Linked DNA regions of Canis lupus familiaris. The main gene of each other region encodes a partner of the protein of the gene in region 3 in a complex. Links are inferred from orthologs where the notes say so. Each region holds a gene or a part of one and is shown on either strand. Other genes may lie near its edges. The genes, in order: CIPC, ARNTL and CLOCK.

The links.
Region 1: the proteins of CLOCK (region 3) and CIPC are in contact, whole or in part, in a crystal structure (PDB 5VJI), measured with the Mus musculus proteins. The link is inferred for Canis lupus familiaris from reciprocal best matches to the Homo sapiens genes CLOCK and CIPC. Residues at the interface, in NP_001276755.1 of Mus musculus: Gln519, Leu526, Lys527, Leu530, Arg533, Ile537, Asn540, Ile541, Arg543, Gln544, Glu547, Leu548, Ile551, Gln554, Leu555, Val558; in XP_006515773.1 of Mus musculus: Asn401, Thr402, Val405, Leu406, Ser409, Leu411, Ile414, Thr415, Thr418, Leu421, Ile422, Asn425, Thr428, Gln429, Leu432, Leu435, Lys436, Thr439, Gln440, Phe442, Ile443, Thr446.
Region 2: the proteins of CLOCK (region 3) and ARNTL are in contact, whole or in part, in a crystal structure (PDB 4F3L), measured with the Mus musculus proteins. The link is inferred for Canis lupus familiaris from reciprocal best matches to the Homo sapiens genes CLOCK and BMAL1. Residues at the interface, in NP_001276755.1 of Mus musculus: Arg46, Gln49, Phe50, Leu53, Ile54, Glu56, Leu57, Met60, Leu61, Pro62, Lys70, Ser71, Leu74, Gln75, Ser77, Ile78, Phe80, Leu81, Arg82, His84, Lys85, Thr88, Glu95, Ile96, Gln98, Asp99, Trp100, Pro102, Phe104, Leu105; in XP_030097882.1 of Mus musculus: Lys70, Met71, Phe74, Ile75, Glu77, Leu78, Ser80, Leu81, Val82, Asp93, Leu95, Leu98, Arg99, Ala101, Val102, His104, Met105, Lys106, Leu108, Arg109, Gly110, Ala118, Tyr120, Lys121, Pro122, Phe124, Leu125, Asp127, Asp128, Glu129.

The regions. Positions count from the first base shown.
Region 1 is NC_049229.1:50,240,681-50,250,618, forward strand, and holds the start of CIPC (CLOCK-interacting pacemaker), read left to right. Parts: upstream 1-3,876; 5' UTR 3,877-3,900; intron 3,901-4,282; exon of another isoform or gene 4,283-4,412; intron 4,413-4,416; exon of another isoform or gene 4,417-4,549; intron 4,550-4,674; exon of another isoform or gene 4,675-4,775; intron 4,776-9,938.
Region 2 is NC_049242.1:36,824,553-36,834,410, reverse strand, and holds the start of ARNTL (aryl hydrocarbon receptor nuclear translocator-like protein 1), read right to left. Parts: upstream 5,100-9,858; 5' UTR 4,945-5,099; intron 1-4,944. UniProt on the Homo sapiens protein: Transcriptional activator which forms a core component of the circadian clock.
Region 3 is NC_049234.1:48,466,713-48,475,893, forward strand, and holds part of CLOCK (circadian locomoter output cycles protein kaput), read right to left. Parts: intron 7,720-9,181; coding exon 7,578-7,719; intron 5,166-7,577; coding exon 5,065-5,165; intron 4,541-5,064; coding exon 4,451-4,540; intron 1,239-4,450; coding exon 1,086-1,238; intron 256-1,085; coding exon 46-255; intron 1-45. UniProt on the Homo sapiens protein: Transcriptional activator which forms a core component of the circadian clock.

The DNA.
Region 1 (9,938 bases), on a different chromosome or scaffold from region 3:
AACCAAGCTGGCTGATGGGGGCCTAGTCACCTGACTGCTAAGAAAAAAAGCAGCATGAATCCCACTGTCACCCACCTCTGCCCCTGCCAGCCTGGGACCTGTAGATCCCTCTGCCCATGCACAGGCTAGGGCCCCTGTCCTCTTCTCTCACCAACTCACGGCTCTGGGACTCCAGAGTATACACATACCTATCATCCCAGCAAATCCTCTTAAAACACTGTGAGTCTAATGCTAGATTCAGTCTAGAGGATAGCTACTTGACAGATGGCCAGACTAAGGTTTGGGAAAATACAAGATGGTTCTCAGGTGCTGGTCCAAGAACTGATGCCTTGAGGTGATGTTTTCACTGGTCCTCAACAAAACTGGAAAAATAAGAAGCATGCAATGAATTTTTCATGAAGTAGAAATTATTTCATTTTTAAATCATGAGATTATGGCCTATCTTCCTTCCTGGGTATATGTGGGGGAAAGATGTTAAAATGCCCTTATTTTTTTTTTAAAGATTTTATTTATTTATTCATGAGACACAGAGAGAGAGAGAGAGAGAGGCAAAGACACAGGCAGAGAGAGAAGCAGGCTCCATGCAGAAGCCTGACGTGGGACTTGATCTGGGTCTCCAGGATCACGCCCTGGGCTCAAGGCGGCGCTAAACCACTGAGCCACCTGGGCTGGCCAAAATGCCCTTATTTTATAAAATGATATTGATAGAAGCAGGGATTTGAAACTTCATCTTTTGAATACTTTCACTCTATTCACTCTATTTCAATTACTTTAAAATAGTTCTAAGCTAATTTTAACTTTAAATTCAACTTTACATATTAAAATAAGTATTAGACAATTAATTACAAGTGTTTTAAATTATAGACCATATTGTATACTTGAAAATATCTTCAAACGAAACTGAACACAAGGTTGACTCTTCCTGGCATCCTTGTGCAGGACTGAAATGCAAATCTTCATATGGACAAGGGAGTCAACAGCTTAATAAAGTAGGCTGGGTGGAAGTGCAGCTTCTGACTCCATGCTGCAGCATTCCAGGGCCGGAGAAAGGAAAAGAAGCCAATTTGCAAAACCTTGAGTGTAGCATTTAAGGGAGCAGGTCTCCCCCTGCTGGCAGTGGTGGTGGCAAAACGAGTCTTGAACACAAGGGGTACGGAGAACTCCAACTGGAAAGGACTCTTCAGCAAGAAGACATTGTGCTCTGATACCCACTCTCCTCATAGGAACCTTAGCCTAAATGTAAGCGTGACAGTAAAGATGAAAGAAGTCATGGCACCAAGGAAACCATCAACAAAGATGCTGATTTACAAACCCTGGCAAATGAACAAAGCCAGGAAGAAAATTTTTTTTTAAATTTATTTATTTATGATAGTCACAGAGAGAGAGAGAGGCAGAGACACAGGCAGAGGGAGAAGCAGGCTCCATGCACCGGGAGCCCGACGTGGGACTCGATCCCAGGTCTCCAGGATCGCGCCCTGGGCCAAAGGCAGGCGCCAAACCGCTGCGCCACCCAGGGATCCCAGGAAGAAAATTTTTTACATTGGTTTAGCTATATAAAAATATTATTCATTTAAAAAATTACCTGTTTTTATGAATTGCTTATTTTATTTTTTAAAAAGATTTTATTTATTTATTTATTTATTTATTTATTTATTTATTTATTTATTTATTTATTTATTTATTTATTTATAGAGACACAGAGAGAGAGAGAGCGGCAGAAACACAGGCAGAGGGAGAAGCAGGCTCCATGCAGGGAGCCTGATGTGGGACTCGATCCGGGTCTCCAGGATCACATCCTGGGCTGCAGGCGGTGCTAAACCGCTGCACCACCAGGGCTGCCCCGAATTGCTTATTTTATATCATTAGTTATATAAATCCATACTCAACAAAAATCACACCTGTCAAATTAAATTGGTCTGATTTTGGTTCCATTAGCAAACTTGTCCTTAAAGTTCAAGTTATTGCTGCAGCATGAATGTCTGCTCATAAAACAGGTAAAATAAGGTAAGTCTGGTTTACTTGCACCTTTGGGGGACTAAAATAATCCTCACGCTTTGCCTTATTTCATTGATTCCCTGTTGCCTGGTATGCATTATGCCCTCATCTACTTCCATTATCGTAAATCCAACTTTTATCTGTCCTTAAAGCTTTACCTTCTGCTCTCTTCCTTCTCCGACAACAAAAAAACAACTGAAGGCTCTTTTTTTTCTTCCTTGATTTTATTAATTAGCTTATGGTCAGAATCCTCTGACACTTAACAACATTCTCACATAGTTTATTAGAGCATGTCTTTCCCATATCAGATTCTAAGGTGTCTGAAGACAAAGACTGTTTTATTCTGTCCCCCCCCCCCATAAAAAGAAGCAATATGGTTAATGGTTCAGATCTCTGACTTAGTAGTTTGTGTCATCAGTAGCATAAACCTCATTGCTCTCATATCTGTCAACTACAAATGATAGGAGCACCAACCTCATAAATTTGCAGAAGCATCGTGAGAGAATGCATGTTAAAGCTGCCTGGATCTTAATTACTTGATAATTGTTAACTATTGTTTTCACTCCCTCCATCCCCTCAACAAAAGCCTTACACGCTGTAGGCATTCAATTATTATTTGTTGGTGGGGCTTAGGCTAATAAAAACATTGATGTGGAGTAATGCATTAGCATTATCTGTGTCTAGAGGACTAACGTGATTAACCATGACCTAGCAGCGCTTAAAAAGGCTCGGATTACCAACACGGGGCGATTTCCTCCCCGACCCGTGATCCCGATCCGGTGGTGGAATACAACTCTGTGATACTGGCAATGTGCTGCTATCATCTGCGAGGCCCAATAAGGTAGCCGTTTAGCTACACGTGGCCATGGAGGGTTTGAAATGAGGCTGGTGCAAATGAGGCGCTGGAAATTTTAGATTTCTTTTAAATATATATATATATAATATAAACATATATATTATATATTTTTATAATATAAAAATATATACGTTATAATATATAATATATATTTTTATAATATATATTATATATATATATATATTTTTTTTTTTGAGAGCTAGAGCCTGAGCAAGCACGGGGGTGGGGGTGGGGGTGGGTTGGGATTGGCTAAAAGAGAGGGAGAAGCAGGTTTCCTGCTTAGCAGGGGTCAGGGGCTGGACTCCAGTCTCATGACCCTGGGATCACGGCCTAAACTGAAGGCAGAGGCTTAACCGACTCAGCTACCCAGTCATCTCTGAAATTTTGTAATTTTTTATAAAAGATTTCATTCATTTATTCATGAGAGACACACAAAGAGGCAGAGACGCAGGCAGAGGGAGAAGCAGGCTCCACGCGGGGAGCCCGACGCGGGGCTCGATCCCGGGTCTCCAGGATCAGGCCCTGGGCCGAAGGCGGGCGCTAAACCGCTGAGCCACCCGGGCTGCCCTAAATAAAATCTTTAAAAAATAAACCATCGCTAGTGATTAAGCGGCGACTAGATAGGGCAGCTCTAGAAGTCGCCTCCACCTGTCGGTCCCTGTGCATGCACCTTAGAAGGACCGTCTCCTAATGAGGAGCCCTCCCTGCTCGGATGCAGGAGAGGTGATCCCGGCCCCTTTTCCTTGAGCTTCTGTACACGCGTGCTCGCTGTGACCCGTACCCACTTACAGCCCGCCAGCTCGCGCGGTCGCAGGGGGCAAAGCAAGCAAGCGTGCGTCCAACGACGCGGAGCCACCGACAGAAGCACCGACCGCGCCCCTGCCTCGTGCACCACCGTCTCCAGGTGGCTGGGAACGCCCGCCCGCCCAGCCCAGCCGCGCCGCCCACCGTCCCACGTGCCCGCCGGCAGGCCCGTCCGCACCGCCGGCCCGCGGGGGTCCCTGCGTACAGACCGGGAGCCACTCCCTCGGCCACCTCCGTCCGCTCGGGTCCGCTCCACGCCCGGCCCCCCGTGGCTCCTCCAAACCCCGCCTCGGAGCCGTGCCCGCCCGGCTCTGCGCTGGGGGAGGGGGCGGGGTGGGGAGGGGTCTCTAACCCTAACCCTGACCCTGACCCTAACCCTGTACAAAATGGCGGCGAACCCGCGGAACCAACCATAGAGACGCCCGCCTCCCGCGGAGAGAGTGTAGGCCTCTTAGGGACGCCCGCGCCTCCCTGAGAGGCGTCCCGCCTCGCCTTCCGGTGGGGGGCGGGGCCCTTCTAGGAGAACCGTCGGCGGTCTCCATGGTGCCGGGTCCTCCGAGCCGAGTCACGTGGCCGGAGAGCGCCGCCGCGGAGGCGGAGGGAGGAGAAATGGGCGGGAGGCGCGCGGGTGGGGGTGGGGGTGGGGAGTAGCTCGAGACCCGGCGCCGGCGGGGTTGTCATGGAGCCGCGGGGCCGGGCTCGCGCATGCGCCGCCTGACCCGCGGGGCCGGTCGTGGAGAGGCGACCTCGGCCCTAGGTGAGAGTGGGAGGGCTGGGCCCCGGGGTAGAGGGTCCGCGCCGGGAGCGTGGGCCAAGGCGCAGGAGTAGCGGAGAGGAGGGAAGCGGCGTGGGCAAAAGAGAGGGCCAGACTCTGGGGGGACGGAGGGCCGAAAGGTGGGAGCAGGGGGCGGTGCGTCTGTCCCCCTTTTAGTCGGTTGCGGTGGCTGCGAGGGGCGCGGCTGCGTGGGCGAGGAGGCGGCGGGGCCCGGGGGCCGAGCGTGCCGAGCGAGTGGGGTACGCGGCCGGGGCGGCGGGGCCCTGGGCTGGGTCTGCTGGGCGCGGGCGGCGGCGAGCCCGCAGGCCTCCAGGGGCTCCGAGCAGAGGCGCGGGGAACGGGCAGGTGAGCGGGCGCGGGGCTGGCAGCGCGGGGAGGGCCCCGCGCCTCCAGGGTGGGGGTGCACGTAGGGCCCCTTCCTCGGCCCGGGACGCAGGGGTGCTGCCTTTTGCAGAGACCTGCTGTCACCCACTTGGCTGGCTGTGTCTCCCGGGTGGCCAGCTTGCCAGGTATGGTGCCAGCGCGTGGGGAGGTGGGGGGAGAAGGTGCGCAGCGCCAAGTGAGGAGTTAGTGCTTAGTGGGGGGAGGTTCGGGTAGTTCTGAGCCGGGCTCAGGGCACAGGCCGCAGCCGGGCTCCCTGTTATTGCCCAAGCCCTGGCAGTGCACATTGCCTGGGCGTTTGCCCCGGGAGTCTGGTGGTATGCCAGTCACAGCACAGTCCTAGGGTCTGCCCAGTTCTGCCCTGCTGAGCTGGCAGGCTGGTGGATGCCTGGAGGGTGCTCCTACTGTCTGGCACAGATGCAGCGTGGGCTGGTGCGAACGGGGAGGTGGGCACTGTTACTGTGAACCCTTCTGGGAAGCTGGGGATTTGGAGAATTTCTCTGATCTTATCTCCTCTTTGAAAGAGGAGAATGGAGGGAGCCATATCTGGTCCTCCAAACAGGACATCGTGTGGAATCGGGGTTTGGGATCTTTGACATAAATTTGCAGCCAAGTTGGAGAATGGAAGTGGATGTGAAAGGGGAGGATGAATATTTGAGATTTAGGTTGGGGGACGGGGTCCTCCCTCTGTTAACACACACAGACATTTCCCCCGAGTGGTATCTCCCACATGGACACCAGGAGAAAATAACTTCAGGGAAAAGCCAGTAATGTATTTATAATTCTAGCTGGGATTACTCATGATTTTCTGGGTGGTAAGGTCTTAATTTTTATGGCCTTGTGCTTTTTTTGTAATTAAGCCTCTGCTTGGGCTTTCACCTCACACCTCTGTCCATGCACGCATGTTATCCACGTGATGCATTTTAAAGGGAACTTGAGCTCTTGGGAAAGTTGCCAAGTGTCTATAAAAGGAAAGATCTGAGAGCAGCATTTCAGATCCTTTCCTTGTAAACCTTGGGTCTCCCTTTTATCAGAAGCCTAAATCTCCATAAAGATTGTGGATTAGACAACCTTTAATTCAGTTGGTGGATTTACCCCTGAGGTTTCACCTTAGAATAAGGGGTAGATGAGATACCTGTTTCTCACAGGAGACCAGACCTGGAAGTTAGATCTTGAGGTGATCATGGTGTTTGGAAATGCAGTCTTGACCTTCAAGCTGTTCAGGTATTTCGGTGACAGCTAAGCTGCTCTGCTGTCAGCGAGACTCAGCAGGACAGAAGATTTGTTGGAATGTATTATTCTGTTGAGGACCTCACATATTAATTGTGCAGGGTTGAGGTTGCAAAGATGGAAAAAAAAAAAAAGAGAACTCTTGAGGTTGAGGAGACAAATAACTAGACCCTAATGTAAGGAGTGTAAAAATAGAAGATCCAAGTGCTATGGAGCACTTGTTAGAATTTTATGTTATACTTATTTATATAAACTTCTGTATTTATCGATTCACTTTTTTTTTTTTTTAAGATTTTATTTATTTATTCGTGAGAGACACAGGCAGAGGGAGAAGCAGGCTCCATGCAGGGAGCCCGACGTGGGACTCGATCCTGGGTCTCCAGGGTCAGGCCCTGGACCGAAGGTGGTGCTAAACCGCTGAGCCACCCAGGTCACCCTCAATTCACTTTCTATTATGAGTTTCATGTGTACTCTTCCCTCTGGGAACATTTTGGACAATGTGTTACGGTTGCATTTAGAAGAGGCCCCTTTAGGGTCGATTCTGACAGTCTAAGGGTACTTAAGCTGGAGTCCTTTCAATGGAAAGTCAGACATGTGAGGACCTCAGATGTTTGTAAAGCAGGGTGCGTTAGTGGTTTCCAGTCTGTGCCAGGAAGCAGGAGATGGCATGGTGGGTGAGAGCTCAGTAACCCATTCCCAACTGCTAGTCAGCTTATGAGCATCTAAGTTCAATGTAAAATAATATTGAAGAGGAAAAAAAATCTTAAGGTTTTCAGACTGCTGGTTGCACGGGCCTTGGATTTGAGAGCGGTGGTAGTAAGTTCCCCCGCTGCGTGCTTGTCTCATGTCATGGGCCTCACGTGGCGCTGTGCATGAGTGGATCTGTTGTTCACTGGCTCATTGACGTCCCCAATGCCACACCCAGGAAGGCAGTGCCTCTCCTCTCAGAGAGGACAGGTCAAGGTGGGATGATGTAGCCCTTCATTACCCATCCCATGGAAACCTTCCCAAGGCTTAAAAAGAACTCTACTTAGGACAGAGGCTTCCATGTTTTTAGTCACTTTCACATCCAAAGTAGTTTGCCTTTTTTTTTTTTTTTAAGATTTTATTTATTTGAGAGAGAGAGCGAGAGCGTGAGCAGATGGAGAGGAAGAAGCAGATTCCCTGCTGAGCAGGGAGCCCAACGTGGGACTCGATCCCAGGACCCCTGGATCATGACCTGAGCCAAAGGCAGATTTTTAAACGACTGAACCACCCAGCCTCCCCTGTGTGCTGTTCTAAAGTGGATTATGCATTCTTTATTTCCAGCTGCCACCAATTTTCTGGGGCTTAACATTTTTGCATCTGTTCTCCTTTTAACCTATTGGCCAATGTTTGTGTTTTGATTCCACAATTAGTATTGTCCTGCACATTCTCAATGAGCCAGAAAATTCCTACATATCTTCTGTAGTTCCGTTGACCACACTAACAGTAACAGTAACAGTAGCAAGACCTTTTTCGTTGTCTTTTCAAAAGGATTATAGACCAAACTGGGGTGCTTTATCGAAAATACCTGTAAAATAATTCATCTCTAGTAAGGTAATGTGGAACTCTGCCAAGTGCTCAATTAGTTGCAACTAACATGAGCTACCCTTCCTGATCAAAATCAACAGCAGGGTCAGACTTGAATAAGTCTCATTGCCCATCTACAAGCTACATCTCCTTCCATTTTGAAGAAGCTTCGGGTTTACTTTCCATGGTATTACTTCAGAAAAATGAAACTATGCACATTTGTTGGGTTCCATACAAAAGGATCCTGATTAAATTAGAGATGCAGTTCTACATTTCGGTCTACTTTTTTTTTTTTTTTTTTTTAAGATTTTATTTATTCACGAAAGACACAGAGAGAGGCACAGACACAGGCAGAGGGAGAAGTAGGCTCCCCGCGGGGAGCCCAGTACGGGACTCAATCCCAGGACCCAAGATCATGACCTGAGCCAAAGGCAGATGCTCAACCACTGGGCCTCCCAGGTCTACCTTTTCAACTGGATTATTCATGCTGTCAAACATCATAGCTACCCACTAGAGATATCACTTTTCTATTGTGCTATGCAAGATTGCACAGTGCCATTGTGTATCTTGTGCACATGGTACTTAACTTGTGACCTGTGTAAGAGTGGTTTGACTGACTGAAGCGGGGAAGCCAGTCCCCTTGAATAAGTTATGGTCCAAATAGTTTTTACTTGGAGTTGTGTTTTGTTTTTTTTTTAAGATTTTATTTATTTGACAGAGCGAACACACAAGCAGGAGAAGTAACAAGCAGAGGGAGAGGGAGAAGCAGGCTCCCCACTCAGCAGGGAGCCCGAGGTAGGGCTCAATCCGGGGACCCTGAGGTTGTGAACTGAGACGAAGGCAGATGCTTAACTGACTGAGCCACCCTGGTGCCCCTGGAGTTGTGTTTAAAATTCAGTCTCATTCAGATGAGTTCCCTTTAGGGACACCTGGGTGGTCCAGCAGTTGAGCGTTTGCCTTCGTCTCAGGGCGTGATCTCAGATCATGATTCCGGGGTCCTGGGATTGAGTCCCACATCAGGCTCCCTGCATGGAGCCTGCTTCTCCCTCTGCCTGTGTCTCTGCCTCTCTCTGTGTCTTTCATGAATAAATAAAATCTTAAAAAAAAAAAAAAAGAAAAGAAGATTTCCCTTTAGTCCACTTCTACTGTATGAAAAGTAGGAGCAAAATGATTGCTCGTAAACATCCTTGTCTTTAATTTTATCTTAAATTGCTCCTCTGCTTCTGGAGTAGTTGATGTTCTTCACTAGATCCTCTGCTAGGGAAATGTTCAGACGTGGCATTTCAGGGTATTCCAGATACAGTGCCCTTTGGCAGGGAGCTCGTGTTTCGCTCCACTCAGAAAGATGAATGGATGGAGCCGCAAGTGGACTGTGAATTAAAACATCACCAAGCATTGTTTATATCTAATATCTTTGTGCATTCATGGTGCTGTAACAAAACAGCACAGACTGCGTAGCTTATAAACAACAAAAATGTATTTCTCACAGTTCTGGAGGCTGGAAGTCCAAGATCAGGGGATGAGCACAGTCGTCTTCTGGGTCCCAGAATGTTCACAGTCCTGTGGTGGAAGAGGCAAGGGATCTCTCTGGAGTCTGGTTTATAGTGCACTAATCGAATTCACAAGGGCTCCACCATCATGATTCAAGCACCTCCCAAAGGCCCCACCTCCTAATGCCATCCTCTCTAGGGGTTAGGATTTCAACATATGAATTCTACCCAGTTTTCATTGCCCTTGCCATTTTTCCTGTCCTCTTTATCCCTGCAATGGCCTTTGTGGTCTTATGCCATCCTAACCACTGCCATTCCACAGGATTCAGATGTCCTTGTTAAAATATGTAGAATGTTCTCAGCCTCTGCCAGCCCTTTGAAGGGTTCATTTGTCTCATTCTTTTCACTGCTAGCCAAATTCTGGATCTGCTATGGACAAGGTGTGTCACTGGGGCAAGTCTAGGCTTCTTTAACTTCTCTGGGCTCCCCACTTGTACATGTGACAGTCTCCCTAGCGTCTCCACTCAGATGACCCACGGCCACTTCTCTCTACATGGCCAAGACTGGACCAGCCTAGCCACCCCACCCAGTCCCTCTGTGCAATTCTTGGGCTGCCTAGCTTAGGAAATGGTACCACCATCTACCTCCCAACATGCAATGACCAATTCCCATCAAGTCTTCTTTCTGAATAGATCTCCAGTCTGTTCGCTTCTCTCCATCTCCACTGCTACAACTTTAATTCACCCTGGCTACTGTGGTAGTATCTGAGTGATCTCAGTGCCTCTCTTACCTCCCTTCACTTTACTTTCAGTCCAGCATCCAAAATGCTTTTAAAATGCTGATCGAGGGCAACCCC
Region 2 (9,858 bases), on a different chromosome or scaffold from region 3:
TCCATCCCCTTCTTTAACCAGGCTGGATGAACATGAGTTTACGCTGTTTGAAAGGACAGCATGTACTAACGTAAAAATCATTTCTCATCATATGCCAGCACTCGACATTCCCCTAAAGCAAAGATGACTAAAGCTGATCCAATCTCATCCCTCTGACCACATTAAGTCCCAAACTCAAATCTCTCCTCCCTGTAGATCTAACTACTCCTGGCCATGTCCAACGCACGTCCCTGATGCACCCCATCCCCTCATCTCCTCCTCAAAGGATCATTAATTGAGATTGGACAAGCACATCCTGAAGGCGACTTGGGGAAATCAAGACGAATTCCCCCCCAAAGTGCTTAGCCTGAGCAAGGAGGGGAGCTAGTCCCCGAAACAGCCCAACACATGCAGCAGTGCCTACCAATTCAAGCTAAATCCAGGCCTTGGGGACACTGCTGCCAGGTGTGAGGAGGAAAACAACCACAATGAAGAAATAGCTCCTGGAGGACCAAGCTTTGAGCTGGGTCTTAGAGAAGAATAAGATTTTGGCATGAGAGAGTTGGAACATGGAGTGGGCCAAGGGCTGGTCCAGGGAACAGATAGCCCCTCAGTTTGACTGGATAGTCCTGTGCACACAGCCAGGCAGGCTGGATATGCAGAGGCAAGAAGGAGAAGCACCAAGAGCTAACACTCACTGAATGCTTGTTGTGTGCCATGAATAGCTTCATGTATTTTTAAATAGTTTTAACTCACTTAATCTACACCACAACTCTTTGAGGTAAGGACTCCAGCGATCCCAGGCTTATCACTGAGGAGACCAAGACCTAGCAAGCAAGGAACTTGACCACAAATCATAAAGCTGGTAAGGAAGAGTTAGGATGTGCAATCTGCACTTTTCACCACTCAAACAGACTGCCTCTTGGGACAGCTTGGGGGTCGAGGGGTACAGGCACCAGTGCGATGAGACAGCACTTGCAAGTAGCATGCAGCCTATGACTCCAAGATCACAAATGCTGGCTCCAGGGGCCATTAATGTGTACGATGAACCTGCTAGCAGCTGAAGCAGGAGAGACAGATTGGGACTGAAAATGGGACCCTGGGTGAGAGGAACAGTATGAAGAGCAGTGGGCAGGGCAAACACCCACCTTTAAGGGTGTGCAGGAAGAGGACCAAGAAAGCATCATGACCCAAAGGCTGAAGGAAGAGGGAATTTGAAGACGGATGGAATGAAAGGTAGGGGAACAGCTGCAGAGGGACCCAGAACAACCATTCTGGATTAAGGACAGGCCCCTGGAATTCAAGACTTAAAGTTTTTGGAGATCTGTGAGAACAACAGAGAAGGGTTGTAGAGAGAGCAGCCAGAGGGTGGGAGTGACAGACAGAGCAAATGAGAGAGTGGAAGAGGTGAACGTTCACAGCCCTGCAAGAGGCTGCCGGGCAGGGAGAGGGGAGACAGACATCCAGATTCAGGGGTACCCTGTACAGACAAGTGAAAGCTGCCTGCTGCATCACAGGCCCACAGAAGGGCTGTTTTTCCCCCCCTTCTGTCCTTCCTCTACTAAATTGAGATGAATGCTTTTCTGGGGTTGGTGAGGAGGCTGAGGACAAACAGCATGGAGGATATTCAGGGGGCAGGACCCTGGCAGCGGTGGGAGGGCGTGGCAGCAGGCGCTGAGGGAGGGCTTCCTGTGTGCCAAGCATTTTACATGCACCATCTCCCTTGATCCTCACGCAGACTCCATGAGACAGGCACTGTTGCTACACCACAGGGGAGGAGCCTGTGCGCAGAGGGGTCAAGCACTTGTCTAATCAGAACCCAAGTCCTAAGTCCTGGCACCAGAGTCCAGGCTCCCGCCCAAAGTGAAGGTCCAAGAAAAAGAAACAGAAGAGAGAGATCCAGTTGCTTTTTCTGAACTGGAAAGAGAGGAGGAGACATGAGGGGGGTGGGGGGTGGCAGGACATTTTGAGCAAGAAGGAAGAGATGCTGACAGTTCAAGTCGGAGCAGGTCCTGTTTTGAGAGAGAAAGAGGAGAAAAGCCAGGGTGGGTGTTTGGGGTACTTTTGTTGTGACAAAGTGGCAAAGTGGCAATGAGGAAAGAAAAGACTGCAGAGGGTGGCGTGCCTGTGTTTCTGGGCTCTTCACTAAACCTCAAGGTCTAGAGAGGATTTTTTACTTCCCTGCCAGTATCTACCGTGATGCTAACTAAAATCATCCTGTAACTGTAACGTCGTAAGGGGCAGAAATTGTTTCTTTGATACTGACTTTCTCTAACCACCCTCAGAGCTGATGTTGCAATCGCAAACAGAAGAAAGCTCACAGAAGGAAAGCAACTCTTACACCAAAGAGAGATATTAAATATTTAGTTTTTATATACTCTCATGCAGTTTTGTTAACATAGCCAAGTCTTTCCACAGTGCTCGTTCATCGTGGAATACATAAATTGCACAGAGATTGCTGGCGTGGAAGGATAAATCTGAAAACACGGCCACTTCCTTTTCTTCCATGTGGTATGCAAACCTCTTCTGCAGAAGGCAGACAAACTCCCGAGTAGTCATCATTTTATAAATCATTCGAAATGGATTCTTTAAAAACCCCATCTGTTGTTCTGTTTAAGTTTCCTGTGAAAATAGGACTTCAGCTCAGATGTTCTGGATGTAAATACCAACCTGAACTCAAACGTATTAAATATTAAGAGATGTAGAGGACTCTAGGGCAGGAGGTACCTTTGAGATCACCTATTTCAACTGCCTTACTTTCCATCTGAGGCAAACAGAACCCAGAGGGGTTCAGTGACTTGCCCCAAGTGGCACAGCCGTGAAAACCCAAATCTGGGCCAGAACCAGCATGTTCCGACTCTCAGGCTAGTGCTCTTCCACCGCTTGTTCCTTTCTCTCGCCTTCTCTTTAAACTTGAGGGGTTGGAAAAAGGCGTACATTTAACTACAGTTTAAATTATTCTTCTTCACTGGCTACATCTAACCATCAAAACAAAATACCTCCACAGATCCAGCTTCAGATGATATAGGCAATTCCAAAGCCTTCCAAATAGCTTCAACAAACTGTTTTGAAAGACTTACCAATCAAGTGAACTCAGTAACAGATCATGGACCAAAAAATTCAATATTTATGTTTGAAAAAAATATTTTTGGAGTTTCATTGATATGGAAATGTAATTTAACAGCAGTGACTTTTTTTTTTTTTTTTTCCTTTTACTTGCAAGCACGAAGAGCATGAGATTATTCTAAACTGCTCAGGAGCAGCACTGATTATTTTAAGCTCATGATTCAACCAGTACATTAATTAAAAACTCCACCAACCCAAATTGACAGATCCTGATATCAATGGGACCAGAAGAATTAAAATAATAGTTGTCACATAAAAATAGATTAAAGTGGGGGAACAGCAGCAGATGTCAGAAGGACAGGCAAGCCTTGTGGGAACCGAGATGCATCATCTAATGGGCAGCGTTTGTGGATTCTTAAAAAAAATAAATAAATAAATAAAAACGAAGACCCTGGAAATACAGCTACAGTCAAGACATGCTTCCTCACAAATACCGAATCTTATTTCTGGAAGCTAGGTGAGAAAACTCGGCTAATAACTCCAGGCTGGGGAGCAGCTCTGTAAGCAGGGAGCAGAGACTAGCAAGGCTCCTGGGCCGGGGAGGGGCCAGGGGCCGAGCAGAGGAGGGAGACGGGGATAGGGACGTGGAGGGAGGGTGTCAGCCTGGTCCCCCGTCGGCCGGGGCAGGCAGGGCCACCCGACGCCAAGGTCCAGGGCGCCCCTTCCCCCCCCACCCCCCGCCCCGCGCCGGCCCTCGGACACCTGCCCGCGCCCCGCGCCGCCGGCTCCCGAGACCCCTCCGGGGGTCGCTGACTCAGGCCCCGCGGTCGGCACCCACTCCCACTCTTGCACTTGCACCGCCCGGCACACCGCAGCTCTCGCGGCCGTCAGCGCCGGCCCTCGCGAGCGGGAACCTTCCTTTGCTGACATCTGTCAAGCCCCGCGCTGGGGCCGGGCCGGCTGCGCCCTCCGCGGGGCTCCGGGGCTCCAGGGCTCCGCGGGCGGGCGGCGGGCCCACGCCTGGACGCCGGGCGGGCGGGACATCCCCGAGCCGTCGGGCACCTGCTCAGAGCCCCACGGAGGATGCTCCCGGGGCCGCCGGGGACACGGGCGGCGCGGGCCGGACGAAAGTTCGCGGGCTGAGGTCCGCCCCAGCCGGGGCCCCACATTCCCGGGGGGGGGGGGGGGAGGGACGGGGGGGAGGGCAGCGCCCGGGCCCCGCGACGGGACAGGGCCGAAGGGGCGAGCGGACTCGCGCTCCCCGAGCCCGACGGAGACGCCCTCCCGCCCCCTCCCAGCCCCGCAGGCTCTGGAAAGGGAAGCGCAGGAGATGGCGAGGAGGGAGGGCAGGAGAGGCGCTGCTCGCCCAGCGCCCTTGGGGGTGCAGCCGTCAAGAACGGTCCACTCGGGGGTCCCCCCGGCCCCCCCACCCCCCGCCCCAGCTCCCGGGGATACATCCTGAGACGCGCCCTGAGCCGGATCCTGGCTCCCCAAGGGCGGAGCTGCCCCTTTAAGAGGCAGCTGGCGGCTGCCTCCCGCCCCGGCAGGTAGCGATGCCCGCGGAGGGGAGGTGGGCGCTCCCGCGGACACTCTCCGGTCCCTTTAAGGGCGCCTGCGGCACCTCTGCCCGCCCTACCCTGCAGCGCCAGCCCCCGCGGGAGAGGATGGGGGCGGCCGCGCGCGGCGCCTTTAAGGGGCGCAGCCTCCCCGCGGCCGGGTGGGGGCATGGGAGCGGGCACGGGCCCTTTAAGGCCGGCAGCGGGCACGTCGGGCAGGGCGCCCCGGCGGCCGGGCTGCGCCCCGGGGCGGTGGCGGGGGCGCCGCGCCTGCCCGGGTGCTAACGGCCCCCGACGGGGAGCGCGGGGCCGCGCCGCTGGCCGCCGCCAGCCCGACACTCACCGAGGCTCGCGGGAGCGCCCGCGTCCGCGCCCCCACTCGGATCCCGCGGCGGCGGCGGCGGTGAGTCCGGCGCGGGTAAACAGGCACCTCCGTCCCTGACCTACTTTCTGCCTTCCCTAAATGTCGCACCACTAACCTACTTTCCGACCAATCCGCTCCCCGCCGGCCCAGGCCCGGCCCCCCGCCCACCAATCGCGGCGCCCAACCCCCCTTCCCCGCCCACCAATGGAGGAGCCGCGGAGCCCGGATACCTGCCTCTCCCCGCCAGCCAATCCGGGCGCCCGAAGGGAGCCGGGCTCGGCGGCCGGCCCCGGCCAATCGGCGCGCGGCTGCGCGGCCCGCCGGCCAATGGCGTGGCAGCCGGGCAGCCCGCCGGCCAATGGCGTGGCAGCCGGAGAGCCCGCCGGCCAATGGCGTGGCGGCGGGGGGCCGGGCTACCTGCCGCTTTCCCGCCACCAATCACGGGGCGCCCGGGAGCGCACGCCCCGACCAGCGCACCAATCGGCGCGCCTCCCCCGGATTTCCTCGCCCCGGCCGCGTCCCTGCCCCTTAGGGCTCGGGCTCGGGCTCGGGCTCGGACTCGGGCTCGGGCTCGGGCGGCCGCTGCGGGCGCGGACGCCGCGCTCCTCGGGGCGCCGGGGCTGCCCCTCTCCGCCCGGGGCCCTGGCGCGCGCGCTCTGCCCCCTCCTCCTCCCCCTCCTGCCCTCGGGCACCCTGACAACAACCAAAAAAAAAAAGAAAAGAAAGAAAAGAAAAGAAAAACCCAGCAGCGCCTCCTCGCTCGCCTCCCTCCGACTCCATCTAGGAAACCAGTCTTGGGAACGCAGAGCGCCGGACCCCGAGCAGCCGGGCTTGCGGGGTCCAAAGGGAGCGCGGCCTCGGGGTCTGCAGAGGCGCCCCGCCCCGGGCCCCCGCCCCCCCCCCCCCGCCCCCGCGCCCCTGCGGCCGAAGGCTGGCCCCGGGAGCGGACGGAAGGGAACGGCTACCAACAAAATGAACGGTCTCCTCGCAAGGACCCGTCGCAGGTGCTGAGAAGACGCGAGCCGTGGTTGTGCACCCCAAGCACTTAGCAGAGGCCTCCAGCGCGAACACCTCCACCTTCCAGATGTTGGGCCCCCCGCGCGGGACGGCGACGTTCTTCCCCGCCTTCCTCTCACTCACCCCGCGCCCCTCGGGCGCCTCCGGGGAATGGGATGGACGGCTGGGGGCAGGGGCCTGACGCCTAACCGAGTGCTTGAGGCAAGAACCAGTGGATGCAAACCTCTGCCCTCAGCTCCATGACCCAGACCAGCCCCTCTGACGCTGGAATTGTAGCCTCTTTCCTTGAACACCAGACACTGCCTTTCAATTGTAAAAATCCTTGCTGTCCCCAGCTCACTGCCAGGCACGGAGTGGTTGCCCAGTACGCGCCTGCGGCCGGTGTATTGACTGTTGTCGAGGTCACCCAACTTCACTGGTAGCTCACTATCTTTCCTAAATTTATATGCAGCTGGGATCTGATTGCTGTTTACGTCGTCCCCGCCCTGATCTCCTAAGGAAACCACTCTACCGAAGTGGCATTTCTAGCAATGCACTTAACAAGATATTCGCGGACAAGATGAAGAAATATAGGCCCGGGTTCTAGTATATAGTTGATTGTAGTATATATACTAGCCCGGGTCTAGTATATTAATTGGATGAATAAGTGGTTAGGTAGGTTAAGTAACCATAACCTACAGACGCTGACTAATGAATCCATGTGCTGAATGCTTTCCCTGCAGCTTCTCCCTTGCCCCTCACAACCCTACCTTACAGATGAGGAAACTGAAGCTCAAAGCGTTAACCAGCTAGTCCAATATCACGCAGTAGGTGGCAGAACCAGAAACCAAACCCAAGTTTATTTGACTTCAAAACCTTCATACCATACCAGTTCCCATCAAGAATGACAGACGGACTGGGTGACGGGCACTGAGGGGGGCACTTGATGGGATGAGCACTGGGTGTTATTCTATATGTTGGCAAATTGAACACCAATAAAAAATAAATTATTAAAAAAAAAAGAATGACTGACAGCTGTCTGCAGGGCCTAGGCTTCAGGACTTTTATCGGTGCTCCGAATGAAAACCCAGACGGTTTGCATCACATTTCTAGATGACACAAAACTAGGAAGGGAAGAGGTGTTGTTGCATAGCATCAGCCAAATGCAATCTGGGAGCAATGGGCTAGCTCTCCCAGGGATAAATGTGGAGGGGGGGGTCCCACCCTGGGAAACTAAATGCAGAAAAGCAGAGGTATCTAAACAGATGCTTATAAGAGCAAACCTAATGGGTCTTAGGGGGCAGACAATGCGATCTGAGTCCTCAGTATGGCTGCCCAGATAAATGGATGCTTGTCTTAGGCTGCATCGATAAAAGTCTGACATGTGAAAGCAAGTTGGGTGTTACAGTACCACCCAGTGTTGGTCATCACACACATAGTGTCTCCAGTTAAGGTCTGGCAAAAGAAAAGTAAAAACAGGCACAAGGAGAGAGACCAGGAAGTCAAGAGGCTGGGAATATGTCATATGAGGAAAGATTAAAGGAAGCAGAAGATTTTTGCCCCAGGAAGTATAAGATAACTGTCTTCATACATGTGAAGGGCTGTGAAAGAAGAGAATTAGGCTCATTCTTCAAGCCCTGAAGGGTGGAAGGGGGACCTGTAGTAGAACCTCTAGAATGAAACAATATGAAGAGTTTTCTAACTAATAGAACCTCCTCTGCCTTGATAAGTTGAATCTCCTGTACAGAAAGTGTCTACATAATAATTGGATGACCATGTGGTGGGACGGGGCCTGGAACAGGTGTCCTTCCAGGGCTCTGCCTCTCTGAGATGACATGGTTCTACCTTCATACCTTGGTCCTCCTCTTTTAAAGTTTATCACCCTGACTTTTCAGTGTACCCTCAGTACCCTCAGTACTTTTCAGTACCCTCAGTGGCCCAGCTACTGTTTCTCCTCAAGTGACCCTGTTCTCCCATAAGTAGCTATAGTTGTGTTTATTTGTTTGTTTTCTGTTGGAGATCCCAAGCAACCTCCATCTTCCACTGGGACTCACTTCCCTTTTATTTTCTACCTACCAGAATACTGGTTTTTAATTTTCTGGGCACTGTTAAGGTTGAAGTATTGTCCTGAATCTAAAATTCAGTGGGCATGAATAAAATTATATAGATAAAAGGAAGGGGATAGGGAACATTTATTGAGCACCTACTGTGTACCATGTGCTTTAGATACATTATCTAATATACTATCCTCATTAAGTCCAGCAGTTGATATGCTTACTCTCCACACTTGCCTAACTGGATGGCTTTTATCAAGCAACACTAGTTTCCTCATCTGTAATATGGGGTTAATCTAGTATCTACTTCACAAGATTGCTGTGAGAGTTAAATGAGACAATAGATAGAAAATCCTTAGCATAGTACCTGGCACACAGGAAAGATTCAATACATACTAGGTTAGCAATTTATGAAAGAGGTATTTACTGCACCCACTTTACAGATAAAACCAGTGAGGATAAAATAGTATAATCCACAGTAGTTCCCCAAACTCTGATCCAATGGTCAGATCCCTTAGAATTAACTGAGGAGGTCTTTTTTGTTTTGTTTTGTTTTGTTTTGTTTTAATACAGATTCTCAAGTCCTAATTTGGAAGATTCTGATTCAAAATCTTTGGTATCTGAGAGGCAGTCCTATTTGGGAACTGCTAGTCTAATGGAATAAATCCAGACCCCAAAGTCAAACAGACATGAAGTCAAATTTCAGGACTGCTAGATTGAATGGAGGAGCCAATAATAGGACCAGGAAGTTAGGTAGTTGTGGTCTCTTTGGAAGGAAGCTGAGAAGTCCTAAGACGGACGTGTTTTTCTGTAGAAAGCCAGGTAGGAATGTGTTGCTAAAAATAACATTAATAACAAAGAAAATTTAAAAAATAACAACAATATTTACTACAGGTTTACAATGTGTCAATGCTATACTAAGAGCTTTATATGCATCAACTCTTCAATTCTCTCAAACCCCTATAAGGTAGATTCTTTTCTTATTCCTATTTTACAGATGGGAAAACTGAAGCACAGAAAGGTCCTGAGATCCCAGGCTAATTAGGCAATCAGAACCCAGAGCCCACACTCTTAACTGCTTCAGCAAATCACCTCTTCCTTTAGACAATTCCTTTGAGACAATTCCTTTGGAAAAGGAAGAAACTTTGTATTTTAGAGACACAGATTTAGGAGTCATCAATTCAAAGGTGGTGAGTTGCTTGGGTTTCTTATAGAGAAAAGAATGCCCAGAACTATGCCTTCGGGATAAGGGTGTCACCGCACATTTAGGCAATGCGAGAAACGGAAGCCTCTTCAACAAACTTAAGCCCAGAGGGGGAGGTTTATTGGGAGGAGATAAGAATATTTCATGGTGTGAAGCACAGCTAGCCCTTCGAAAGGACCAGAACCGAGGTGCCATTGGCACGAAGCAGTTCCCATCTCCTCCTTCGTTCTCTTCACCTCCTTCTCCAGGGTCATGCATCCTCTGGACTTGTCTTCCCTCTGTGCACTTTATGATTCTCTTTCCCTATAGCTCTTCACCCTCCACCCCATTTGTACATGGCCCTTCGTGAATGCTTTCAACGACTGGCTGAGAAAGGGAGAACAGGAGAGGCTCAGACAGGTCATTCTCAAAGTGGGGGACATGGACTGAGCAAGATTCCCCAAAAAGTGCCTACTGAAGTGAAAGAAGAATCAGAACAGGAGAGAATAGAGTAAGAAGAGCAAAAGACGAAGTGAGTAAACAGCTGGGTTTGGGAGACTTCAGAAGAAAGTCTCAGCAGACAAGTTTAGAAGATCAAGGAAACTTATGACTGGCACAAAGGTTTTGGGTAGAACACCTAAGAGGTCGACCGTAAGAAAG
Region 3 (9,181 bases):
TCAACCACTGAACATTCCATACCCCACTGCACTTGATAATGTTACCTGACTTGATGTACTCTGTAAAGTCTGCTGTGGTATCATATGTTGAGTTGTGCCAATGTGTCCAGTATTCATTCCACTTTGAATTTGGTTAGTTTGAACGACCTGGCCCTGCATATTTATAGGTGCGAGTTGCTGGATGTTAGATGAATTTCCAGAAGAAAGTTGAACAGAACCAAAATTCAAACCAGGGGTTGATTGTTGTAAAAACATCTTTAAAAATAAAGATTACATTAAAATGAACTTTGTAGATTAAAAACAAAGAAGAATGAGAGCAATCAAAAAAAAAGGAAGCAAAAACAAGCTATGAATTAAGTTTTTAAAAAGCAAAGAGGATGGCTAAGTCATTTTGAGTGAACAATTAGCAACAATAAACAATTACTGAATAAAACAGAATTCATATTTGTTCTTCCAGTCATCCTAACCCTATTGTGTTTCCAATTGTCAGAAAAAGGCGTATAAACTTCAAAACTTCCACTTGTTTGAACATCTTACATATTGGGCATTGTCTGTTCTACTAGCTACCCAAAAGGTCTATGGACCTGCGGTTCTGCATCACTCACTGTTTATAATGTATGGCATTAGATAGAAGTAGTTTTAACTTAAAGTTTCCCTACCCCAAAATCTAAGTCTCCTCTGAGAGATACAACTTTACAGTGGCCCTGTCCTTTGACCAAATAAGACTAGTTCAAATCATATCTTCTAGTATTTTACTAAAATAATGACTGATGACTGATTTATAAACTCTGTACCTAAAAGTCTATATAAAATATTATTTTTCTATTACGGGTTTAAGCTTACTAAAAGTTAGACTGCTAAAGGAGACTCTGATCTGGAGAAACAAGGATGTTGATGGAAATACTCTTAGGAATGAATCTGACTGTAAGTGCAATCATACTGAGTAGGTAACCAATGAGTATTTACTCAACTAAATTGATGAACTGTATCTCTTACTTATTTTTAATTAAGAAAAGTCAACTTTCCTAAGAAACTAAAATATAAATGGCTTGCTTTGCTTGTATTCAAATGTAATAACAACTTACTTGCAGCCCTTGACCATGGACCATTTGAAGTTGTTCCTGAATTTTTCTTAGTTCTTCTTGTTGTCGATGAATATTTGCTTCTATCATCCGTGTTCGTTGCTCTAATTGGTCTTTTAGATGCTGCATGGCTCCTAGTTGAGCTGAAAACTGAAACTGAAGTACCATGTATGGGAAAAGTGTAACATATTTTAGAATCACTTACTCTTCATAATTGGGAAAAATAAGTAGAATAAATATATCATGAGACAAGAATGTTATGCCAGTTATCAATGTATTACCTAATTCACCCACCTTTGCTTGGCTGGACCTATAAATATTTGTCAGCAGACACAAACTTAGTCATGTCAGTAGATGGAGCTAGAGGGATACTGCAAAGGGAGAAATTATTACTGAAAAGGGAGATGACTTTCCAGCAAGTCTTACTGGCCTCCTAATGGGATGCTCCCTTGAAAATTTTGCTGGTATCCCAGCAGGTGGCTTCCTACTCTCCAGCCCTGGTCTGTGGCACCTCAGTGAACCGTTCTTCCATCAAGTGGCTGCTGCAGCCATATCAACCCCAATGGAAAGTGAGTTTCAACCTGGCTGGAGAAGAGTTTAGGAGGTCGGGAGAGTTTTCCAACTTGTTCCTTCTTTGCATAGTCTCCGTCTCACTAACTGCTCTTTACATCCATTTTCCTATATTCTTTGGAATTGTTACTAGTTAATAATTTTTAAAATTATTACCCCTATTTCAAATTTCTGGTATGGCTTCTGCCTTCTGACTGGATCTTGACTGATTAGAAGTACACACTGGCATTAGAAGACCAGAGCTCACGAATGCCTGGGTGGCTCAATTGGTTAAGCCTGCAACTCTTGATTTTGGCTCAGGTCATGATCACAGGGTTCTGAGATTGAGCCCTGACTGCTTCTGGCTCTGAGCTCAGCATGAAGTCTGCTTGAGATTTTCTCTTTCTCCCTCTCCTTTTGCCCCTTCCCTCTCACACACGGTGCATGTGCTGTTTCTCTCTCTCTAAAATAACAACAAAAAAAGAACAGAGCTCATATTGTGGCTCTACCATTTCCTAGAACAAGTTGCTTAATTTCTACCATTTAACAAATGAAAAAGTAGCCTGCTCCTAGAATTATTTATATCAAATTCTGTTATCCCTAGAATGTCCTCTTTGTACACACCATTAGGTTATAAAAATCTAACAGATAACTAACCATATTTTTACTCATATTTTCAACTGAAACTGTTCTCAGACAAGTATGAAATGTAGACTTTTACAAACTAAGTAATTATGAATGAAAAAATGCATACAAGAATGAAAACAGTTATCCTACTTCCAGGATTTTCAATCTTATTTCACTGTTTCACTTGAGTCATAAGCAGCTTCTATTTACTAGCTTGAAATTTAGCCACACTTAGTGATTCATCACTTAAGTGTATAAATGCTCATTTAATTATTTCCATGAATATTTAGCTTAGGACATAGTTTAGCAGAAAGAATTCCAATTTATTGGAAAAGCATCTTAATCTTAAAATAGTCTCCTACAGGGGCACCTGGGTGGCTTAGTCAATTAAGTATCTGCCTTCGGCTCAGGTCACGATCCTGGGGTCCTGGGATTGAGCCCTACACTTTGGGCTCCCTGCTCAGTGGGGAGCCTCTGCTTCTCCTTCTGCTCCTCCCTCCATGTACTCTCTTGCACATGCTCTCTCTCTCTCAAATAAATGAAATCATAAAAAGAAAGTCTCCTTGAGTGAACTGCATCTAAAAGTGAGAAATGCCCTCCCACCAAAAGATTTTTTCTCTATCTTCAAAAGTTTGTGTTGAGGATACTGAATATTACTCTTCAAAAGGTATACAACTCTGACTTCTGAAGTTGACAATCATCACCTCATATCCTGCATTTGATTACACTATGACAAAATATTTCAAATTTTGTACCTCAGCTCCCTCATGCCTTAAAAAAATATTATCCAAAATGTTATAATTATATCATATGATGTATCTTATCTTAAAAATTATTTACACCTTTGGGTAAACATTATATTGTCATCACTTAAAGGATTTCTATTAAATGCAAATAAAAGATATAAACAGAAGGCACAGTAACAGGAAATAAAAAATAAAAGGAACTAAGAGGTAAAGTGGCTTTCTCACTCAACAAAATATGAGATCTGACACTTGTTAACATTTTTGACATAGCAGACATTATTAATTTCATGAAAATATCCCTTAAAATGTTAAGAAATACTCATTCAGTATCTTGAGATGAGTGAACAAATAATATTGAAAGCACATCTAAATATTTACATAAAAAATCTGTTAACCTTCAGAACAAAAAGCATTTGAGGACTCAATGTTGATAAAAACTATTATGACTACAGATAATACGTAAGCACCTTACATGATCATGTTGCTGTAAGTCAAGATTACAATGTTTAGGTAATTTACAACACTGTCAATATATTTGTACAGGTCTCATATAATGGCTATAATTATGTACATATAATTTAAATAATAACCATATAAGATAAAGGTATTTTTAGAAAACCATTTTTACCTATTGTTAACTATCATCATTTGAAATACTAAGTGAAGATATAGTTAAGCAAATAAAACAGTTTGGATTCTTTTTACCACTATCTAGTATTTTTAATGTGTTTGAGGCACTGAATGAATGCAGAGTCATAAATTACAAGTTGGGAAGTTATAATCAGAAGTAACTTCGTGTCCCTTTTGTAATACCTCTCCTCTGTCTTGCTATAGGCCCCTTCAGGACTCAGCCCAAGCAACAATTCTTCCAGAAAGTTTTCCTTCACTTCCTCAGGCTGCATTAGGAGTCCATCTAATGCACTCACATATCAGCCTATACACCTTAAGCACAGACTACATAACATTAGCAATGTAGTTCTAGGTCATTGCTTTTAAATGTTTAACAGTATACTTGTATTTGTACTGCCGGCACCTGCAATAACTCAAGGAACTCAATAAATGTCCCATATACAAATGAATGGATACATGAATAAAATTACTTGATTCTTCCAATATCCATAGGAATAACAAAATCGACAGCTATATTTCATCTTTAATATCTTTCTGTCTATACTCTCAGTGGGGGTGTTATAGCATATAAACCAGGATAATTTTTTGTTGTGCAAAACTGTCATGCATACTGAAAGACAACTAGCATCCCTAGCCCCTGCCTATTATGGGTCAGTGGTACTCCACAATCACTGACAATCAGAAATATCCCCCAGACATAAATGCCCACAGGTGAGATTCACTGCACTAAAAATATATAGATTTTTCAAATCTTTATTAGCTTAAAAACAATTTATCATTTTAAAATACTCAACTCAAACAAATAAACAAAAATACCTGGGACATGCCTTGTGGAATTGGTAAATTTGCAGCTTGAGACATCGCTGGCTGTGTTAACGACTGACCAACAGACTGGGAATTTATGGACTAGGAAGCAAAATAAAAAATAATACTAGAGTGACAATTACTCCCATCCATAAGTACTTCCACAGAAATACCACATGGCATCTTTATAACTGAACTACAATTTGCCTCATAACATTTTTAGCTGAGTACAGGTGTATGCACATCTTCCCCTCTACACTGGACATGCCTATTCCCTATTTATCCTTTTATCTTCTAAGACATCTGCCACATTATTTTGCATGGGCTTTCAATAAAAGTCAAATGGACATAAAAGTGATTAGTATTCAAAACTAGATATAAATGGTTTAATTATTAACTTTTCTTAATTAAAAGAAATGTCTAACATTATACCTGGAAAACAAGCAAAAGGAGTATGTTTGAGAGCTATTTCACAAAAAGGGAAAGATTGCAAGTGTTATTTATCAACAGCTATTTTGATCTTTATAGAAAAGGATAATGCATTAATGAATTTCTAAAGATTTAGATGACTTCCCCCTCCTTCTAATAAATCTTTATTCAGAAGAATATTAAGTAGGAAAGTTTACCTGACTACTAAATGATGCCCTCCTTGGCGCCATCTTTTCATGAGATGGTAAATGTGGTCTGGGAGGAGTGCTAGTGTCCGTTGGGATCTTTGTTGGTGTTGCTGAGGTTAGTCAACAAAAATGAAATAGTGTTAGTACTTTATAAAATGTTAATTCCCAAGGATTAATCTCAAAATGGATTTTGGTGAATAAAAATAATATTTCAACTATTTTTCTAATTATTTTATAAAAGGGAAGTCTGACAATAAGAGGATTCATTTTGATTACTTCTTTCTTAAGGACAAAGAAAATCTTTGAAATAGGCAAACTTTAAGCTTAAAAATGGTTACTAGTCGGGCAGCCTGGGTGGCTCAGCAGTTTAGTGCCGCCTTCAGCCCAGGGCCTGATCCTGGAGTCCTGGGATCGAGTCCCGAGTCAGGCTCCCTGCATGGAGCCTGCTTCTCCCTCTGCCTCTCAATCTCTCTCTCTCTCTGTCTCTCATGAATAAATAAAATCTTTAAAAAAAAAAAATGGTTACTAGTCCCCGAACTCAATAGTAAAAAATCCTAGTAACTCAATTAAAAAATGGCCTAATGACTTGAATAGACATTTCTTCAAGAAGATACACAAATGGCCAACCAGAATATGAAAAAATGTTAAAGGTCACTCATCATCAGGGAAACACAAATCAAAATCACAATGAGATACTACTTCACACCTGACAAGATGGCTATTATCAAAAAAACAAGAAGTGTTGCTGAGAATGTAAAGAAATTGGAATCCTTGTACACTTAAAATTGGTGGGGGGATATGAAACGGTACAGTCACCATGGGAAACAATAATGGAAGTTTCTCAAAAAATTAAAAATAGAACTACCACATGTGATCCAGCAATTTCACTTCTGAGTATTTATCCAAGAGAACTGAAATCAGATCTCGAAGAGATACTAGCACTCCTATGTTCACTCACTGTAGCACTATTCTTTATAGCTAAGATGTGGAAACAATCTGTCTACTGACAGATGAATGGAAAAACAAAATGTGGTAATATACGTACAATGAAATACTATTCAACCTTTAAAAAGAATGAAATTTTGCAAGTTATGACAATTTGGATGAATCTTGAGGACATTATGCTAATAAGTACAAAAACCCAAAGATGAAAAGACAAGTACTACATGACTCCATTATATGAGGCATCTAAAATACAGAAATTCATTGAATCAAAGAGTAGAATGGTGATTGCCAAGGGCTGTGGGGGGATACAAGAAAATAAGGAGTTATTAATGAATGGGTAAACTGTTTCCGTTAAGTACAATGAATAAGCTCTAGAGATCTGCACTACAACCTACAGTCAACAATAATGCATTGTATGTTTAAAAATTTAAGAGGGTAGACCTCACTTTAAGCATTCTTATCACAGTAAAATAAAATGTATAAAAAGAGAAAAACAGCTTCAAAGGGGAAACTTTTTTCTCCAACATTTCAGAAACTCCATGTTTAACACCTCTAATGGTCTACTCACGGTGTTGAGTGGTTCCAACAACCTTTTTCCTTACATAGTTTTAATACCTGGGAAATAAAAGTGCTAAACTCTTTAAACAAAAAAAGGTCACTAATTCAATGATAATTATACAAGTCTTCATTAAAAATAAGAACTAAAAATAACATTCAAAAAGCAGGCTTAAAAAAAAAAAAAGTGGCTGGGTGGCTCTGTCAGTTTAATCATCTGCCTTCGGCTTAGGTCATGATCTCAGGGTCCTGGCTTTGAGCCATACATAGGTCAGACTGCCTGCTGGGTGGGGAACCTGCTTCTCCCACTCCTTCTGCTCCTCCTGCAACTTGTGCATTTGCACTCTTCCTCTCAAATAAAAAAAAATCTTAAAAAAAAAAAAAAAAAAAGCAAACTTAAAGAACACTGGCTGGTTCTACCAGTAAATAAAGGAATAAACAGTTTTGCTTTTTTATTTTTGAGGGATGATTAAAAGCAACTTAACAATACCAACAGTACTACCTAAACATTTTATAGGCTTCTTTATAAATTTAATTCTTTGTTAAATGTGAGCGACATGCTTTTTGCTCATTGGAAGGTTAGTATATTTCAGAGATGCAAAAATTTATCATTTTATTTTTTAAATTTATCATTTTGAAGTAGCATTTCACCCACCTTCCCACTTGTCTCCCCTCTGGCAAGCAACCAGTCTGTTTTCTATATTTAAGAATCTGGTTCTTTGTTTTTTCTTTGTTCATTTGTTTTGTTTCTTAAATTGGTGAAGTGGATCAAGATCTTATCATGATGAGCACTATTTATAGAATTGTTAAGTCATCATATTGTACACTTGAAGCTAATATGACACCATATGTTAATTATAATTCAACTAAAAAGAAAAAGATCTAAAAAGAGTACTTCAATCAATACTACAGTAAACCTTTCCATATAAGAAATAAAGTAGCATTTGATGAAAAATGCTGATACTAGTAACACATTAGAAGTACTCTCTTGAGAGAAAGTGCTTTCAAGCTAGGATACTTACAGGAAGGGTCTGAGACTGCTGTGTGAGATGATTTTCTTGAACTCCGGGAGGAAGCAGACGGGGTTGGGCTGTGATCAAACCTTTCCAAGGCTTCCTTGAGACTGACTGTGTTTATACGATTATCAGACCCAGAATCTTGGCTCTAAAGAGACAGAGTAAAATAAATGTATTCTTGAGATTCAGTTCAGAGATTCCAAATTAATGATACAGCCTGCTACCCCTTCCTCCCCAAAATCAGTTTTTACCCACAACAAGGCAAAGGTACCTGTGTAATATTAGGTAAGGAAATAAAAGTTTCTTTTCTATAGCCAGAAAATTTTGGCTTTATTCTCTATTTACAGAAACAGATGTGAAAGAATGAAGCTATAGTCTTTCTTAATTTATACCATATATAAAAATTAACTCAAATAGATCAATGACCTAAGCATAAGAACTAAAACTATAAAACTTTTAGAAGAAAAGGGGAAAAGCTTTATGACCCTGGATTGGGCAGACTTCTTGCATGTGACACTAAAAGCATAGGAAACAAATGTGCATCAAATGACACTACAAATAGAGTGGAAAGGCAGCCCATGGGATGGGAGAAAACACTTGCAAACCACTTATCTGATAAGGGATTAACACCCGCAATATATAAAGAACCTTACAATTAAACAGCAACCTTCCCCCGAAGAATCCAATTTATTTTTTTTTTATTTTTTAAAGATTTTATTTTTATTTATTCACAGAGACAGAGAGAGAGAGAGAGAGAGGCAGAGACACAGGCAGAGGAGAAGCAGGCATCATACAGAGAGAGCCTGATGTGGGACTCGATCCAGGGTCTCCAGGATCACGCCCTGGGCTGCAGGTGGCCCTAAACCGCTGCGCCACCAGGGCTGCCCAAATCCAATTTAAAAACAAAGGTCTTACAAAGATATTTCTCAAAAGAAGATACATAAATGGCCAATAAAACACATGAAAAGATGATTAATGTCACTAATCATTTGGGAAATGCGTATCAAAGCCGTGAGATAACCACTTTAAACCCATCAGGATGACTATTATTTAAAATAAAAAAACAAAAAAAAAAAACAAAACAAAAAAAAAACAAAAAAAAAAATAAAATAAAAAAACACAAAATCACCAGGTTTGACAAGGATAAACCGGAAATTTTGTACACTGCTGGTGGGAATATAAAATAGTGCAGCCACTAAAGAAAACAGTATGACAATTCCTCAAAACTTACATATAAAATTACTACATGATCTAGTAATTCCATTTCTAGGTATATACTCAAAAGAATTGAAAGCAGACTCAAACAAATATTTGTACACTCATGTTCACAGCAGCATGATTCACAGTACCCAAAAGATAGGTGCAACCCAAGTGTGCATTGCTAGATGAATAAACAAAATGTGGTATATATCCATACAGTGGAATATTACCCATAATCAGCCAAATCTATCCTCAACCTCACCTCTGAATATCCATTTGCTGGCCTGCTCTAACTAAAACCCAGATGTCTCTAGAAAATACCGCATTCTTAAAGATCTTTTAAGTGGTGCCTATTTTCTATCTCCTAACCTTCAGAACCCTGCTCTGGAGGGGAACAAAAGTCCTCCTAC